Oryctolagus cuniculus: one gene and its partners. The protein of the gene in region 4 purifies or fractionates together with the protein of the main gene of each other region. This does not show direct contact. Links are inferred from orthologs where the notes say so. Each region holds a gene or a part of one and is shown on either strand. Other genes may lie near its edges. The genes, in order: PPP6R2, PPP6R1, PPP6C and ANKRD52.

Region 1 (3,565 bases), about 64 Mb from region 4:
TCTTCTGTTTGCCTAATCATGCACAGAGATGTTAACACACGTTTTGTCCCTTTTAGTGGCTGAATGAAGAGAAGATCATCCAGCGACTTGTGGAGTTGATCCATCCGAGTCAGGATGAGGATGTGAGTGTGGTGCTCACAGAGCCCACCTGCTTTGTTATATTATTTACGTATGTGTATGTTTACTTACTTACATGAAAGGCAGAGGGAGATCTTCTGTCCATTGGGGCACTCCCCAAATGGCCACAATAGCCAGGGCTGGGCCAGGCCAAAGCCAGGAGCCAGGAGCTTTGTCCGAGTCTCTCACATCTCACCTTCTTTCCCGCATGAAGCCCCTACTGTTTACTTTTCTTCCTCTATTCAAGTGCCAACCTATAGGTTCTTGGGGTTTTTTCAACTAAAAATAATGTCTGTATTATAAAAATAGTTCTGTTGGTTATCTATTCATATAATTATCTGTAGTTGATTAGCAGATTATCCCGGAATTAGCTGCAGGATTTGCCTGGGAGGGCTTGCTTCTGTGGACACAGAGGCTTTGCAGCACTCTGCTCCCTGGGACTGCTGGCCAAAGCCACCCTCAGCTCTGAGCGCTGAGCCACATGTGCCTGTCCACAGGGCTCCTGTGTGGCCGCTGGCTTCCTCCCGTGAGCAGGAGGAAGCCATGCAGACTCATCTCAGCAGTGCCCTCCCTCCTTAGGCACGAGAGTACGTGTGGCCCGCACGCAGGGAGACAGGGTGACAAGGGCATGGATTCTGAAGTGCGGGGAACTGGGGAGGGGCTCATTGGCGGCCTCCCAGAAACTGTTCACCATAGATCTGGAAGCATGCAAGGTGACACGGGGCCTCCTGTCTCAGCTGCCCTCTCCCTGCAAATCCTGATAGACCTTCTTTTTTGTGTTACAGATATTTACACATAGACACACGCACATGCACAGTCCTCAGGAAGTTTGAAAACAGTTGGTGCTGGGCCGGCACCACGGCTCACTAGGCTAATCCTCTGCCTTGCGGTGCCGGCACACCGGGTTCTAGTCCCGGTTGGGGCGCCGGATTCTGTCCCGGTTGCCCCTCTTCCAGGCCAGCTCTCTGCTGTGGCCAGGGAGTGCAGTGGAGGATGGCCCAAGTACTTGGGCCCTGCACCCCATGGGAGACCAGGATAAGTACCTGGCTCCTGCCATCGGATCACCGCAGTGCGGCGGCGGCCATTGGAGGGTGAACCAATGGCAAAAGGAAGATCTTTCTCTCTGTCTCTCTCACTGTCCACTCTGCCTGTCAAAAAAAAAAAAAAAAAAAAAAAAGAAAGAAAGAAAGAAAAGAAAGAAAAGAAAAAAAAAAAGAAAGAAAAGAAAAGAAAACAGTTGGTGCTGACTGACTCATGTCTGAAGCTGTCACAGCTGCCTGGCCACTCTGCTTTGTTCTGTGTCAGTGCTCGGGGCCTGGCCAGACAGCTGGGTAGGGCCTTGTTGGCACCTGTGGGAAGCAAGGCGGCTGCCCTGTTCCAGGGTGGAGACCACTTGCAGGTGTGAGTGTAATGGTCCGTCCCTTGTCTCAAAGGTGGGCTCAAGGCCACACCACAGAACCAACCAACTTGCTTTCGTTTTTTCCTAAAGCAGTCGACCATGTGTCTCCTCCTCAGACCAGTGCCCAGGAAGGGGGTTATCCTGTCAGCCATGCCCACCTCCCCCACGGAACACGCCTCCATTGCCAGCAAGTGCATATTTGACTCGGATTGCACAGCTGCAGGGTGGGAGGGGCTGGAAGGTTTGGTGCTCCCCTTCCTCTGCAGCAGCTTCCCTGCTTTCGCTGATAGTGGCTCCTTGTCACGCTTAAAACGCAGAATCGTGACAAGGCTGCATGTTCAGTGTCTCTCCGAGCGTGGGTCAGAGGTGGAGAGCAGATCTGTGTTGCACTGCATCAGAATTCCTGGGGATGGCTCAGAACAGCTGAAAACTTAGCCGGGTCTCCACGTTGGAGACGGGAAAGATGGACGCGGCTTCTCTGACACAGACCGGGGTCTGGGCCTTTGTGGAGCTGCTCTCGACGAGGCAGCTCCGTCAGGGGCAGCAGCAGGGCTGGCGCTGCTGTCGTCTCTCCCGGGCACTGAGGGCTGTGTCTCCCTTGTCTTCCAGAGGCAGTCGAATGCGTCTCAGACTCTCTGTGACATCATTAGGCTGGGCAGAGACCAGGGCAGTCAGCTGCAAGAGGCTACGGAGCCAGACCCCCTCCTCACAGCGCTGGAGTCGTGAGTGCTGGTGGGCTGTGGTGTGGTGGGCCTCTCTCTGAGACCCTGCTCTGATGGCACTCTGCTGGGCTGGCTGTGAAACACTCCCCAGATTCGGAGCCTAGTTAATTTGATGGGCCTTTTTCTTGGGGGAGGGGTCTCCTGGCAGATCCAGAGGTGGGGCCAACAGGGAAGGGATGAACTGTGAACCTGGGCACCTGCCTTGAACCCAGGTAGGCTGGAGTGAGAGCCCTCAGATCCAGGGTGTAGCCGGGTCCTCCGCGCGAGGGGAAGGGGCTGTCCTCACCTCCTCTGCGTGGCAGTGACCTCGTGTGGGTCCGCAGGCAGGACTGCGTGGAGCAGCTTCTGAAGAACATGTTTGATGGGGACCACACCGAGAGCTGCCTCGTCAGTGGGACCCAGGTGTTGCTCACCTTGTTGGAAACCAGGCGGGCTGGGTGAGTCCCAAGGGAAAATGAGAGTTGTTTGACGTTTCAGACAGGAGGTGTGGTTGGGAGACCTGTGGAGTGTGCTCCAGTAGTGGGCGCAAGCAGGACCGGCACCAGCATCCCTGGGCCTGTGCGCGCCGTCTGCGGATGCTGCTGTGCAGTTGGGAGGCCATGCTGCGTATACAATGTTTCTGTCTGCCCTGTCCCATTACATGCTGTGGCAATGGCCTTGCTCTCTCAGGGTGACCGCTGTCCCTTGTTTCTGTGTGCTGGGACCAATAGCCTGTGCATTTTTATAAAGAAAAAAAGACAATAGGAAAGTGGCAAGAAATTGACTTAATCTTGGTGGCTAAAGTACCAACTGTTCCTCTTTGGTATTATCTAGTACACATTTATTAGTGTCTTACCTAAAAGTAGAATTAAGACATTCTAATCATGGTTTCTACTGATTTTTTTTTAACTCTTCATAAAAGCAAGAGGTCTGGGCCACGTCTGGGTGCTGAGCCCAACCCTGCTTGTGACAGAAGGGAAAGCTTAAAAATTAGAACAGAGAGAAACCAGCTGTTTCTCTTTACTTTTTAATCCTTTTCCATATTTAATTTTTAAAAAGATTTGTTTATTTATTTGAAAGTCAGATTTACAGAGGGAGAGGGACAGGGACAGGGACAGGGAGAGGGAGAGGGAGAGGGAGTACTTGGTGGGAGTACTTGGGCCATTTTCCACTGCTTTTTCCAGGCCATTAACGGGGAGCTGAATTGGAAGGGGAGCAGCCAGGACAAGAATCGGCATCTATATGGGCTGCCGGTGTCATGGGTGGTAGCTTTACCTACTGTACCACAGCTCTAAATTTTTTTCTATAATGGCCATGTATTACTTCTGTAATTGGAAAAAAAATGTTC
Region 2 (3,565 bases), on a different chromosome or scaffold from region 4:
CCGGCCCCAGTTTTAACATTGAACTCCCTCTCAGTGTTAGGAATATGAGTTTTTTCCTGTTTCCCAGATTTCCTGCCATAAGCAGTCTGACCAAAAAAATTTAACATCCATTAACTTTTTGTGAACTAAGTACTAAGCTGTCATGTGGTAGAGACAGGCAGTGAAGAAGGAATGGCCACTGGGGTCTGGGTGGGTTGTGGCCGGGGGCTCCGAGTTCAGCTCGGGCCCGGGTCACAACTTTGCTGGACCTGGTGCACGGGTCAGTGCCCTGTGGGGTCGTGCTGTTCGCTTTGCAGAAGTGCAGCCCCTGTCCAGTCTGCACCGGCATTGCAAATCCCCGCTAAAGACAAAAGGCGGAGCCAGGAGAGCGAGACACAGCCTGGCGTCAGCGAGTTTGGAAGGGTTTTACTTGCCTTTTTTTTTTTTTTTTTTTTTTTTTTTTGACAGGCAGAGTGGACAGTGAGAGAGAGAGACAGAGAGAAAGGTCTTCCTTTTGCCGTTGGTTCACCCTCCAATGGCCGCCACACCGCACTGATCCGATGGCAGGAGCCAGGAGCCAGGTGCTTTTCCTGGTCTCCCATGGGGTGCAGGGCCCAAGCACCTGGGCCATCCTCCACTGCACTCCCTGGCCACAGCAGAGAGCTGGCCTGGAAGAGGGGCAACTGGAACAGAATCCAGCGCCCCGACCGGGACTAGAACCCGGTGTGCCGGCGCCACTAGGCGGAGGATTAGCCTAGTGAGCCGCGGCGCCGGCCGCCTTTTTCTTTGATTTCTGTTCCAGTTGCCCTTGGGCAAGACTTAATTACCAATGTAAATGGACAGATAGATGGAGAACAGGTACACGTTTGGTTGTTTCCAGTGACTTACATTGCCTAAAGTGACCACAAACACTGAACTGGCACAGCCTGCACCCTGTTCCCTGGGGAAATTTCTGGAAGTATGTAGAATGGTGCAGACCGTTCATGGAAGTGGATACTGCGACTCTGGCTTGGCGTGTTAGCACCCTGCCCGAGGATGCCCACAGCCTGGTGCCAGCATGGGATGCCAGCTCAGCAGGGCTAGCCCGAGCCGGGGCTTCTTGTGTGGCCATCCCTGTTGTCCCCATGCTCTGGACACCTGTAGCTAAGTGTGTATCAGGCAGCTCTGCAGACGGCCGGTGCTGCAGGTATGACGTGTGGGATTCCAAATGCATTGCAGGGAATAGTGGGATTCCCAGCTAGTGGGGTTGGCTGTGTGTTGGCTGCTGCACTTTGGTCACAGTGCGTCTCCACCTGTTCTCCTAGCGCACCTTTCGACAAGACTGCCAACATCACCTTCTCTCTCAACGCTGACGATGAGAACGTGAGTGCCGCCTGTCCCTGGCCGGGCGGGGAGGGGTGCAGGGGCTGCAGGTGATGTAGCCCTTCCTTCACCCTGTACCTGTAGCCCAACACCAACCTGCTTGAGATCTGCTACAAAGACCGCATCCAGCAGTTCGATGACGAGGAGGAGGAGGAGGAGGAGGAGGGCCAGGGCTCGGGGGAGTCGGATGGAGAGTACGGTGCCTGGCGGGGCAGCCAGCTGGCACGGGGGCCCCGTGGGGGCCAGCCCCCTGGTGTTCGGTGAGTACCCTCCAGACAAGCCTGGACCAAGATGGAGTGGACGAGAAAGAGAAGATGCATTGGTGTGTGTGTGAGAAGTGCTTTTGATTTTGAGTGACAGAAACCAGTTCCAATGAGAAAGGGGCCGGAGGAGCGGAGTGGTCCCTGGGAAAGCAGGCGGGCCCTGCAGCTGCAGCCCGTCCGGCCGCGCCCTGCCTCTGGCTCCCCAGGGCAGCTCTCACGTTTTCCCATGAGCAGCACCTCTTTCCCTGCTTCCCTCTGCAGTCAGGGTGTCGGTTGTCTGTGCAGACTGACTGGCCCTGGAGTCATTGTGAGTAGGGGGTTCATGCCACGTCTGCTTGCTGGCGGGAACCAGCTCACAGCCTGCGGTTCCGCCTCTGCCTTGTGACTTCTGGGTGGGGAATTAGGGAATTTTAGCTTTCTTACTGAAGTGCAGCGTGTACAGGCAAGTGCGCGAGTTCTGAGTGTCCAGCCGGATGGACGCCTCTGTTACCACCGTGATCCTGCAGTGGGACCATCCCAGCACCCGCTGTACCCCAGCTGGCCCCGTCCTCCACCCTGGGGTAGTGCTGTCCTGACTTCTGGGTCTGGCTCTTTCTCCGCACTCCGTGCAGGAGGCCCAGCCTTCTAACTGGCGTGCTGGCGTCTTGCTCACTCGCAGCCGCAGCCGGAGGCGCTGTGCCGGCACGTGGCCGGGCAGGTTCTGTGGTTTCACGCTGAGAGTGGAGCTGCAGTGAATGCCCTCACACATGTGTGCACAGATGTGTGTCATTCCAGATCCGACACAGTGTCTTACTCCTATGTTTTCTGTCAGAAATTTTTTAAAAGATTTGTTTATTTTACTTGAAAGAGTTAGAGAGAGGCAGAGGCACAGAGAGAGAGGGCTTCCATCTGCTGGTTCACTACCCAGATGGCTGCAATGGCTGGAGCTGGGCTGAAACAAAGCCAGTAGCTTCCTCCAGGTCTCCCATGTGGGTGCAGGGTCCAAGGGCTTGGGCTAGCTTCTTTTTCTTTTTTTAAATGTGCTTGGTCTTATTTTATTTTTAAATCTTAGCTTCTTTTTTGTTAAGATTTTGTTCATTTATTTGAAAGGTAGTTACAGTCAGAGAGACAGAGAAGTCTTCTATCCACTGGTTAAACTCCCCAGATGGCCACAACAGCTGGAGCTGGGCCAGTCTGAACCCAGGAGCCAGGAGCTTCTTCTGGGTCCCCTACACAGGTTCAGGGGCCAAAGCACTTGGGCCATCTTCTACTGCTTTCCCAGGCCACAGCAGAGCTGGATTGGAAGTGGAGCCGCTGGGACTTGAACCGGCACCCATATGGGATGCCGGCACTGCAGTTGTCAGCTTTATCCACTACGCCACAGCGCCGGCCCCTGGTTTTTTGTTTTTTTTTGTTTGTTTGTTTTTGTTTTTTTTTTTTTGTTTTTTTTTTTTTTTTTAAGATTTATTTACTTGAAAGGCAGGGTTACAGTTACAGGGCGAGAGAAAGAGAGCAAGGTCTTCCATCTGCTGGTTCACTCCCCAAATGCCACAATGGCCTAGGCTGGGCCAGGCTGGAGCCAGGAGCTTCTTTTGGGTTCCCAATGTGAGTACAGGGGCCCAAGTACTCAGGCCATCGTCTACAGCTTTCCCAGGTACATTAGCAGGGAGCCGGATCAGAAGTGTAGCAGCCAGAACTCTTAGCTGGTGTCTGCATGGGATGCTGGCGCTGCAGGCGGCAGCTTTACTCGCTACGCCACAGCGTTGGCCCCTCCTTCTTTTTAAGATTTATTTGTTTTGAAAGAGTTAGATAGAGGGAGAGACAGACAGCGAGAGCTCTTCCATGTGCTGGTTTACTCCGCAGTGCTGAGGCAGACCGAAGCCAGAAGCCATGAGATTATTCTCTGGGTTATCTTCCACTGTTTCTCCCAGGCCATTAGCAAGCAGAGAGCAGACAGGAAGTGGAGCAGCCAGGGCTGGAAG
Region 3 (4,362 bases), on a different chromosome or scaffold from region 4:
ATGTGACAGCCTCCCAACTGATCTCTCAGTGCAACCATCGCCCTCCAGGAGTCCCCAGAGTGCTAGAGTGATCCTTCTACAACAAGCTACATCATTTTACTCCTGTGCTAAAAACCCTGCAATAGCAGTCCATTTCATTTAAAAGAAAAAAAAGCAGGGGCTGGCGCTGTGGCATGGTGGGTAAAGCCACCGCCTGCAGTGCTGGCATCCCAGATGGGTGCTGGTTCAAGTCCCGGCTGCTCCACTTCTGATCCAGCTCTCTGCTGTGGCATGGGAAGGCAGTGGAAGATGGCCCAACTGCTTAGGCCCCTGCACCTGTGTGGGAGACCAGGAAGAAGCTCCTGACTCCTGGCTTTGGATCAGAGCAGCTCCAGCCATTGTGGCTGATTAGGGGAGTGAACCAGCAGATGGAAGACCTCTCTCACTGTCTCTCTCTCTCCTTCTGTGTGTGACTGTGACTTTCAAATAAATAAATCCTTAAAAAACAAAACAAAAAAACACAGTATTCTTCTCCTTTTCTCTCTGATCTCTCCTACTCCTCTCACTTCTGCTCCAACCACACAAATCTTGCTGTTTCCCGAAGACTTTAGATAGGCGTCCACCTCAGGGCCTCCGCACCAGCTCCTCCCTATCATATCCCTCAGGTAGCTGCATGGGCAACTCCCCCACTTCTTAGATGGCTTTCAAAGTTCATGTCCTTACTCTGCCGCGTTGTTCCCCTAGCACACGTCACTTTCTCAAACGCTATGCATTGATGGCAGCGTGGTGTCTTCCCGTCCTAGCTGTCAACCACAGGCTGTGGACGCCCGTCTTTGTCTACTGTGTTGACTGCGTATCCCAAGCGCCTGCAGTTGTACCTGGCCCATGGCTGGTGTTTGGTAAACAGCTGCGGAATGACGAATGCCTCAATGAATGCTGAAGGCCTACTCAGTGCCAGGTGATCTTACTCGGTTGGGGACACAACATTAAACTCCCTCCCTCGTGGGACTCCCACGGAGGTCTGCTTAAGCCAGCTGACCTGTTTTCCAATGTTGACTCTACCGTTCGTTTCCGGTGACATGTGGGGCAAGTTACGTAGGGTCTCCAAGCCTTACCTTCCCAGCAATCATGAGAATTAATGGGGGAAGGGGAGTGGGGCGGGGAAGAAAACACAGAATAAAAGAACCCTTGCGGCATCCGGTACAAGAAACGCTTTGACATTTCCTTTCTCATCCTCAAGACCAGACGACTGGGAGTTCGGCTTCTCCGCCACAGGTTTAACCGAGGTTTTTGCAAAACCTTGGAAAGGCGCAACCAGGCTACTACGGGCAGGCTTACCCAATTTCTAACTGAGGATGTCCTGTTGAGAGAGGGCCTAAAAGGGTCGCAACGAGAAGCCACAGAACGCTCAGGTCACCTACTTCGCCGTTTTGCCTCCGATAAGCCTTGCCGGGTCTCCAGGGGTGAAGTACCGGGAAGAGGAGGAAAAAGAGAAGCCGGCTCCAACTGAAAACTACAAATCCCAGCAACCCCCGCGGCAGGCAACTACGGGTCCCAGCAGGTTTCGCGGGCGGAATTGAGGGGACCTCTTCGGGCTGCAGCCTGGGATCAGTCAGCGAGGGCGCGGGACGTGCGGGGGCGGCGCGGAGAATCCGGTCAAGCTTTAACGTCGCTGCGCAGACGCCACTCACGGGCCGGACGTGACGTAGGGAGAGTTCCGGCTTCGGCCTCCGCCGCTGCCGCCGCTAGTACCGTCGCCGCCGCCGCCGCCGCCGCCGCGGCTTGTTCCTCCTAAAATGGCGCCGCTAGACCTGGACAAGTATGTGGAGATAGCGCGGCTGTGCAAGTACCTGCCAGAAAACGACCTGAAGGTGAGCCCGGCCGGGGCGGGAGTGCCGCTTGCGGGGCTCGCCCCTTCCGGCTGTGGGGCGCCCGCCGGTCCGCCCTTCCTCTCTCCGCGGGACCCCTGCCGGGTGTCCAGTCCTGTCGCGGTGGAGAGCCCTCCGCGGTGGGAGGCGACCCTCGGGCTCGGCGTCACGCGGGGAGACGGGAGAGCCCGAGTGCCCGGATGCTGTCCTGGCTTCCCCCGCCGGGGATCCCGAGGGCTGTCGCGGGCTCTCCTCCGGGGTCGCCCCTCCTGGCCTGCGGGCTGCCCCTGGACGCGGAGCCGTTACAGCTTCGCCGGGAAGACCCCGCTCTTCCCCAGCCGCAGCGCCGAGCCCCGGAGCCGGAGTCGAGCCCCAGCGGGTGGTGCTCCCCGGAGGTGACAGGAGCGCGGGTGGCCGGCTCCCGGGGTCGCTGAGGTCCGGCGGGGCGGCGGGGCCCGAGCGGAGTAAGAGGACGTCGTGTCCCTCCGTACGCCGCTCCACATTGCTCCTTGGGCGTGCTGGCTCTCGTGCCAATTCAGCTGGGAATCCCGGTCTGTGGCGGTGTTGGGTAAAGTGTGCAGATACCAGTAGCTTGCTCGCCTGGAAGTCGTGCCCCCGAAACCCACTTCTTGGCTTTTTGGAAGAAGGTGACTTTTTGCTTGTTATTGCCCGAGTGGTGGGATTGTGTGTGTGGGTGCAGGAGTCGGGGTCGGATAATTTTGGAAAAGCGTTTCTGTGCTTTGTTGAAACCAGTGCTTGGGTTTCCAGCAGCGGTTACCCGCTAGTGCCGGTGTCTCATTTGTTCTGTTAACTTTGATGGGCTCTGTGCTAAGTGGGTAAGCTGTAAACGGTTCGAGTGCTTTTCATGCTTTCATTAAGCCGTGGGTTGTAAAGTTACAAAAGTAGATGTGACCGTGTTTGTGTTTTTGCTATATCCTTTGGTACCGGAAGTTGATATTTAACCTCACTCAACAAGTATGCAAAATTTTTCAGGTTCCCTGGCCTGATGTGAATATAAATGAATTGTATGTGCTTATGCTGGGATAATCACTCTCGTCCCCCCCCCCCCCATTTTTAATAGGATAGCTTCACTAAGGACAGCTTTTATTAATGGTAGTGTAGTGTTTCTGCTCCCAGTGCTTCAGACGCGTGCTGTGTAGCCAGCATTGGGAACCCGTTCATGGAGAACTGGCCAGGCCTCTGCTGGTAGCATTGTTCATCTTTTTGGTGAATTCATTGCATGTTAATGAATCGATGTGGAATTCTGTTTTCATTTGTTATGTTTAAAGCCGTTTTGTACTTTGTGATTTCAGTTTCAGAAAATATGTCTTGATATTACCTTGAGGTGGGACACAAATTACTTGAAAAACAGTTGGATTTTCTTTAGATCTCTTAGTCTGCTAAACGTTATCTGAAGGAAGTAATTATTAAACCATTTTATTTCCTGTTGAAACATAGTTGGACTGTATTTATTTGCATCTGATTCTTAATAAACTTTATATCTTCTGAGCAACTACTTAAATTCTGGATTTTTCTCTGTTAGAGACTTCTGTTTTGGAAAATTTTTTTTTTCTTTCTTTTTTTTTTTTTGACAGGCAGAGTGGACAGTGAGAGAGAGAGACAGAGAGAAAGGTCTTCCTTTTGCCGTTGGTTCACCCTCCAACCCTCCAATGGCCGCCACGGCTGGTGCGCTGTGGCCGGCGCATCACGCTGATCCGAAGCCAGGAGCCAGGTGCTTTTCCTGGTCTCCCGTGCGGGTGCAGGGCCCAAGCACTTGGGCCATCCTCCACTGCACTCCCGGGCCATGCAGAGAGCTGGCCTGGAAGGGGGGCAACCGGGACAGAATCCGGCACCCCAACTGGGACTAGAACCCGGTGTGCCGGTGCCGCAAGGCGGAGGATTAACCTAGTGAGCCGCGGCGCCGGCACCTCCAGAGTATTTAAAGAAATTTAATTTATGTTTCTTTTTCTTGGCATGAAGTACAAACTAAAAATAGGCAGACCAAAAAATACTCTAGGAGCACCTTTGATGCTTTCAAGTCAGTAGAAAATATTCTGTTAGAGGATGGAAAGAATTAATTGGGGCCACTTAATGAACATGATGGAAGAGACTTGTTTGGGTAGAAAGGAAAGTAAATTTTTATTTGTATTTTAAGTTTATTAGAAGTTAGAGGTGCAACATTAAATAATAAATACATAGGATGTTCAGGTGTGATAACAAGTTCTTTATAACTGAATTTGAAATGGTCAAAATACTAGTACCAGGTCGAATCTGCCTGTTTTGAGGGAATAAGAATAAAGTACCTGAGAGTGAGTGGACAACAGAGCTCAATAGATGGTTTAGATTTCATAAGTTGCTAAGTGAAAGAAGGAGTGATAAAAGTCTAGTTTGGTGCTCGCTTTGGCAGCACATATACTAAAAGTCTAGTTTGCTGAATATGTAAGTACTTTTGGAGGAGAGAGTCTATAACTTGAAGGTTGTCTGAATTTTTAGAAAATTTTTTTTTCAAGATTTA
Region 4 (2,345 bases):
GCATGCCCTTGTGCCTGAGCAAACAGGAACCCCAGGTGCCCGGGCTCCTCCGCGAACCGTCCCTCACTCACCGTCCTTTGGCATCTCGGCTGTTCACAATCTTGGCACCCAGAGCTCCCAGCAGCATCTCTGTGGTGCTGTCCTGGTTATTAATTCTAGGGAAGAGGGAGCAGGGGTCACCAGGAAGGCAAGGGAAGTGGCCTTCCTATGCTGACGCAGGTCACAGCCCCCGCGCCCCCGGAGGCGGGGAGCCCACAGTGCACAGGGACTTACACTGCACAGTGCAAAGGAGTGAAGGGGTTTCCTTCCAGGTACGAAAATGGGCTGTGTTCAAGTAACAACTCCAGACAATCTTCATGTCCTGGGGACGAGGACGAAAGGGTGACAACAGAGAAAAGGCAGGGGCGCTCCACTCCACTTCCAGGCCCGCTTCAGCGCAGGCTCCCCACAGCCCACCCTCTCTACATCGCACACACATTCTGAGCCTACCGGAGGCCCAGGCCATACCAGTGTAGGAGGCCCAGTGCATGGGCGAGTATCCGCTGTAATCCACCCCAGCATCCAGGGGGTCTGTGGACAGGGCAGCCTGCAGTAGTGTCCGCAGGACTGCTGTGTGGCCACAGGCTGAGGCCAGGTGAATGGGCGTGCGGCCCTTAAAGTCTCGGCAGAGCACAAACGCATCGTGGTCCAGCAGGGCAGCCAGGCAGTCCTCACAGCCAGTCACTGCCTGTGGGGGGACACAGGGGCGAGAGTCGGGGTGAGGAGCCCTTCCCTTTCTGCCGGCCAGGAGCAGGAACCACCTCCAGGGCTCCAATCCCTGATGCACAACAGGCAGCCCAGGTGTTAGGCACCAGCATCTCCTTCCCTGTGTCTCTGTGTCAACAGCCATCAGGATGGCCAGAGTCCACCCCGCAGCTCTGGAGTGAGACACTGAATGCAGAGCCAAGAAAGGACCGAGGGGGTGGGAATCTTGGGGGAGGAGGAGGCAGCTCTGGGACAGTGGTCGTGAGAAGGACCTGGGTGATGGCCGCACTGTCTGAGGGCACAGTAGTCTGAGTGGTGGGCCTGTGCTCATGTGTGATTACAAAGCAGGGCAGTCAGCTGGGGACGGTGGCCACTCATCCTGCAGCAGGCACACCCTTGTGTGAAAGCCTGGCCCGCCTCCTACACAGTCCGATGCCCTGCTGCTGGGGGGCGCTGTGCTGCCACATCGAGGCCTGCCTGTGAGCAACCCGCCCAGGAGCTCTCACCCCACGGTGGAGGGCAGTGCGGCCCCGGAGGTCAGCAGCATCGGCTGTGGATCCTTTCTCTAGCAGCAGATGTACACAGTCCACGTGGCCATTCATGATGGCCAGCATCAGTGGGGTTCTACAGAGGGGGGCAGGAGAAAGGGTGAGGGTCCAGCACGGGTGGGAACACCTGCATCCCACCCCCCGCCCACACTCACTGTCCATAGGCATCCATGACATCAGTGATGTCAGCTCGCTCCCCACTGTCAATCAGCAAGTGCAGGGAGTCAGTGTGGCCAGAGGCAGCTAGAGACAAAAGGGAGCTTGCATCAGGGCAGGGTCAGCTCGAGCCTCAAGGCTGCAAGGGTCAAGGTTACGGGAAGACCTGGGGCAGCGAGACACTCTGGAGACAGGAAGCTATGAATCAGGACACATGGTTACATCCGCCCTGCCCCAGCCCTCTCCCAGGCCTAACTGTTCAGGAAGCGGGCACTAACCAGCAGCGTGCAGGGGCGTCCACTTGCGCTTACGCTCCTTGATGAGGGCGGAGGCACCGTGGGCCGTGAGTACCTCCACACACTCAGTAGAGCCTCGCTCAGTGGCCAGGAAGAGCGCGGTCCGGCCTTTGTGGTCCCTTACATCCAGGTTCACCAGCGTCTCCGCCAGCGTCTTCAGGGCTTCACAGTGACCGTTATAGGCCTAGAGGTGTGCAGGCAACCAACAGATGCAGCTCGAGACACACACCTGGCCCTACTGTGCCTTGGGAGCCCATGGAGACACTCTAGGCATTAGTCCTCCACAGCTCCCCAGGCCCCTCGGGCTTCTCCCCCTGCATTGTGCCCTTCCCCACAAGAAGGCAGACGCAAGGATCAGGTGATTGGGTCACCCTTACGCGAGCCTGAGAGCAGGTGGGGCAGGGACGGCAAGAAGAAAAGACTGGGGACTCACAGCTAAGTGCAAAGGGCTGACTGGAATGGTGCTCTCCACATCCTCCAGGCAGTTAAAGGACATTTCTAAGAGCTGCAATGGACAGGAAAACAGGCGCTGAGGTTCGGCAGCTCCTAAGGTATCAGTCCCCTGCCGCCCCACTGACAGTCATCTCTAAGCTCCTGGTTC

The links.
Region 1: the proteins of ANKRD52 (region 4) and PPP6R2 purify together in Homo sapiens (affinity purification with mass spectrometry; 3 studies listed by BioGRID and IntAct, counting the BioPlex papers as one, with this or other methods). This does not show direct contact. The link is inferred for Oryctolagus cuniculus from reciprocal best matches to the Homo sapiens genes ANKRD52 and PPP6R2.
Region 2: the proteins of ANKRD52 (region 4) and PPP6R1 purify together in Homo sapiens (co-immunoprecipitation; 3 studies listed by BioGRID and IntAct, with this or other methods). This does not show direct contact. The link is inferred for Oryctolagus cuniculus from reciprocal best matches to the Homo sapiens genes ANKRD52 and PPP6R1.
Region 3: the proteins of ANKRD52 (region 4) and PPP6C purify together in Homo sapiens (affinity purification with mass spectrometry; 6 studies listed by BioGRID and IntAct, with this or other methods). This does not show direct contact. The link is inferred for Oryctolagus cuniculus from reciprocal best matches to the Homo sapiens genes ANKRD52 and PPP6C.

The regions. Positions count from the first base shown.
Region 1 is NC_091442.1:123,354,472-123,358,036, forward strand, and holds part of PPP6R2 (serine/threonine-protein phosphatase 6 regulatory subunit 2), read left to right. Parts: intron 1-56; coding exon 57-122; intron 123-2,125; coding exon 2,126-2,238; intron 2,239-2,561; coding exon 2,562-2,675; intron 2,676-3,565. UniProt on the Homo sapiens protein: Regulatory subunit of protein phosphatase 6 (PP6). May function as a scaffolding PP6 subunit. Involved in the PP6-mediated dephosphorylation of NFKBIE opposing its degradation in response to TNF-alpha.
Region 2 is NC_091449.1:3,650,447-3,654,011, forward strand, and holds part of PPP6R1 (serine/threonine-protein phosphatase 6 regulatory subunit 1), read left to right. Parts: intron 1-1,283; coding exon 1,284-1,341; intron 1,342-1,425; coding exon 1,426-1,601; intron 1,602-3,565. UniProt on the Homo sapiens protein: Regulatory subunit of protein phosphatase 6 (PP6). May function as a scaffolding PP6 subunit. Involved in the PP6-mediated dephosphorylation of NFKBIE opposing its degradation in response to TNF-alpha.
Region 3 is NC_091432.1:229,001,639-229,006,000, reverse strand, and holds the start of PPP6C (serine/threonine-protein phosphatase 6 catalytic subunit), read left to right. Parts: upstream 1-1,557; 5' UTR 1,558-1,775; coding exon 1,776-1,850; intron 1,851-1,921; exon of another isoform or gene 1,922-2,494; intron 2,495-4,362.
Region 4 is NC_091442.1:59,055,465-59,057,809, forward strand, and holds part of ANKRD52 (serine/threonine-protein phosphatase 6 regulatory ankyrin repeat subunit C), read right to left. Parts: intron 2,250-2,345; coding exon 2,178-2,249; intron 1,929-2,177; coding exon 1,727-1,928; intron 1,536-1,726; coding exon 1,448-1,535; intron 1,369-1,447; coding exon 1,251-1,368; intron 728-1,250; coding exon 508-727; intron 362-507; coding exon 274-361; intron 156-273; coding exon 72-155; intron 1-71. UniProt on the Homo sapiens protein: Putative regulatory subunit of protein phosphatase 6 (PP6) that may be involved in the recognition of phosphoprotein substrates.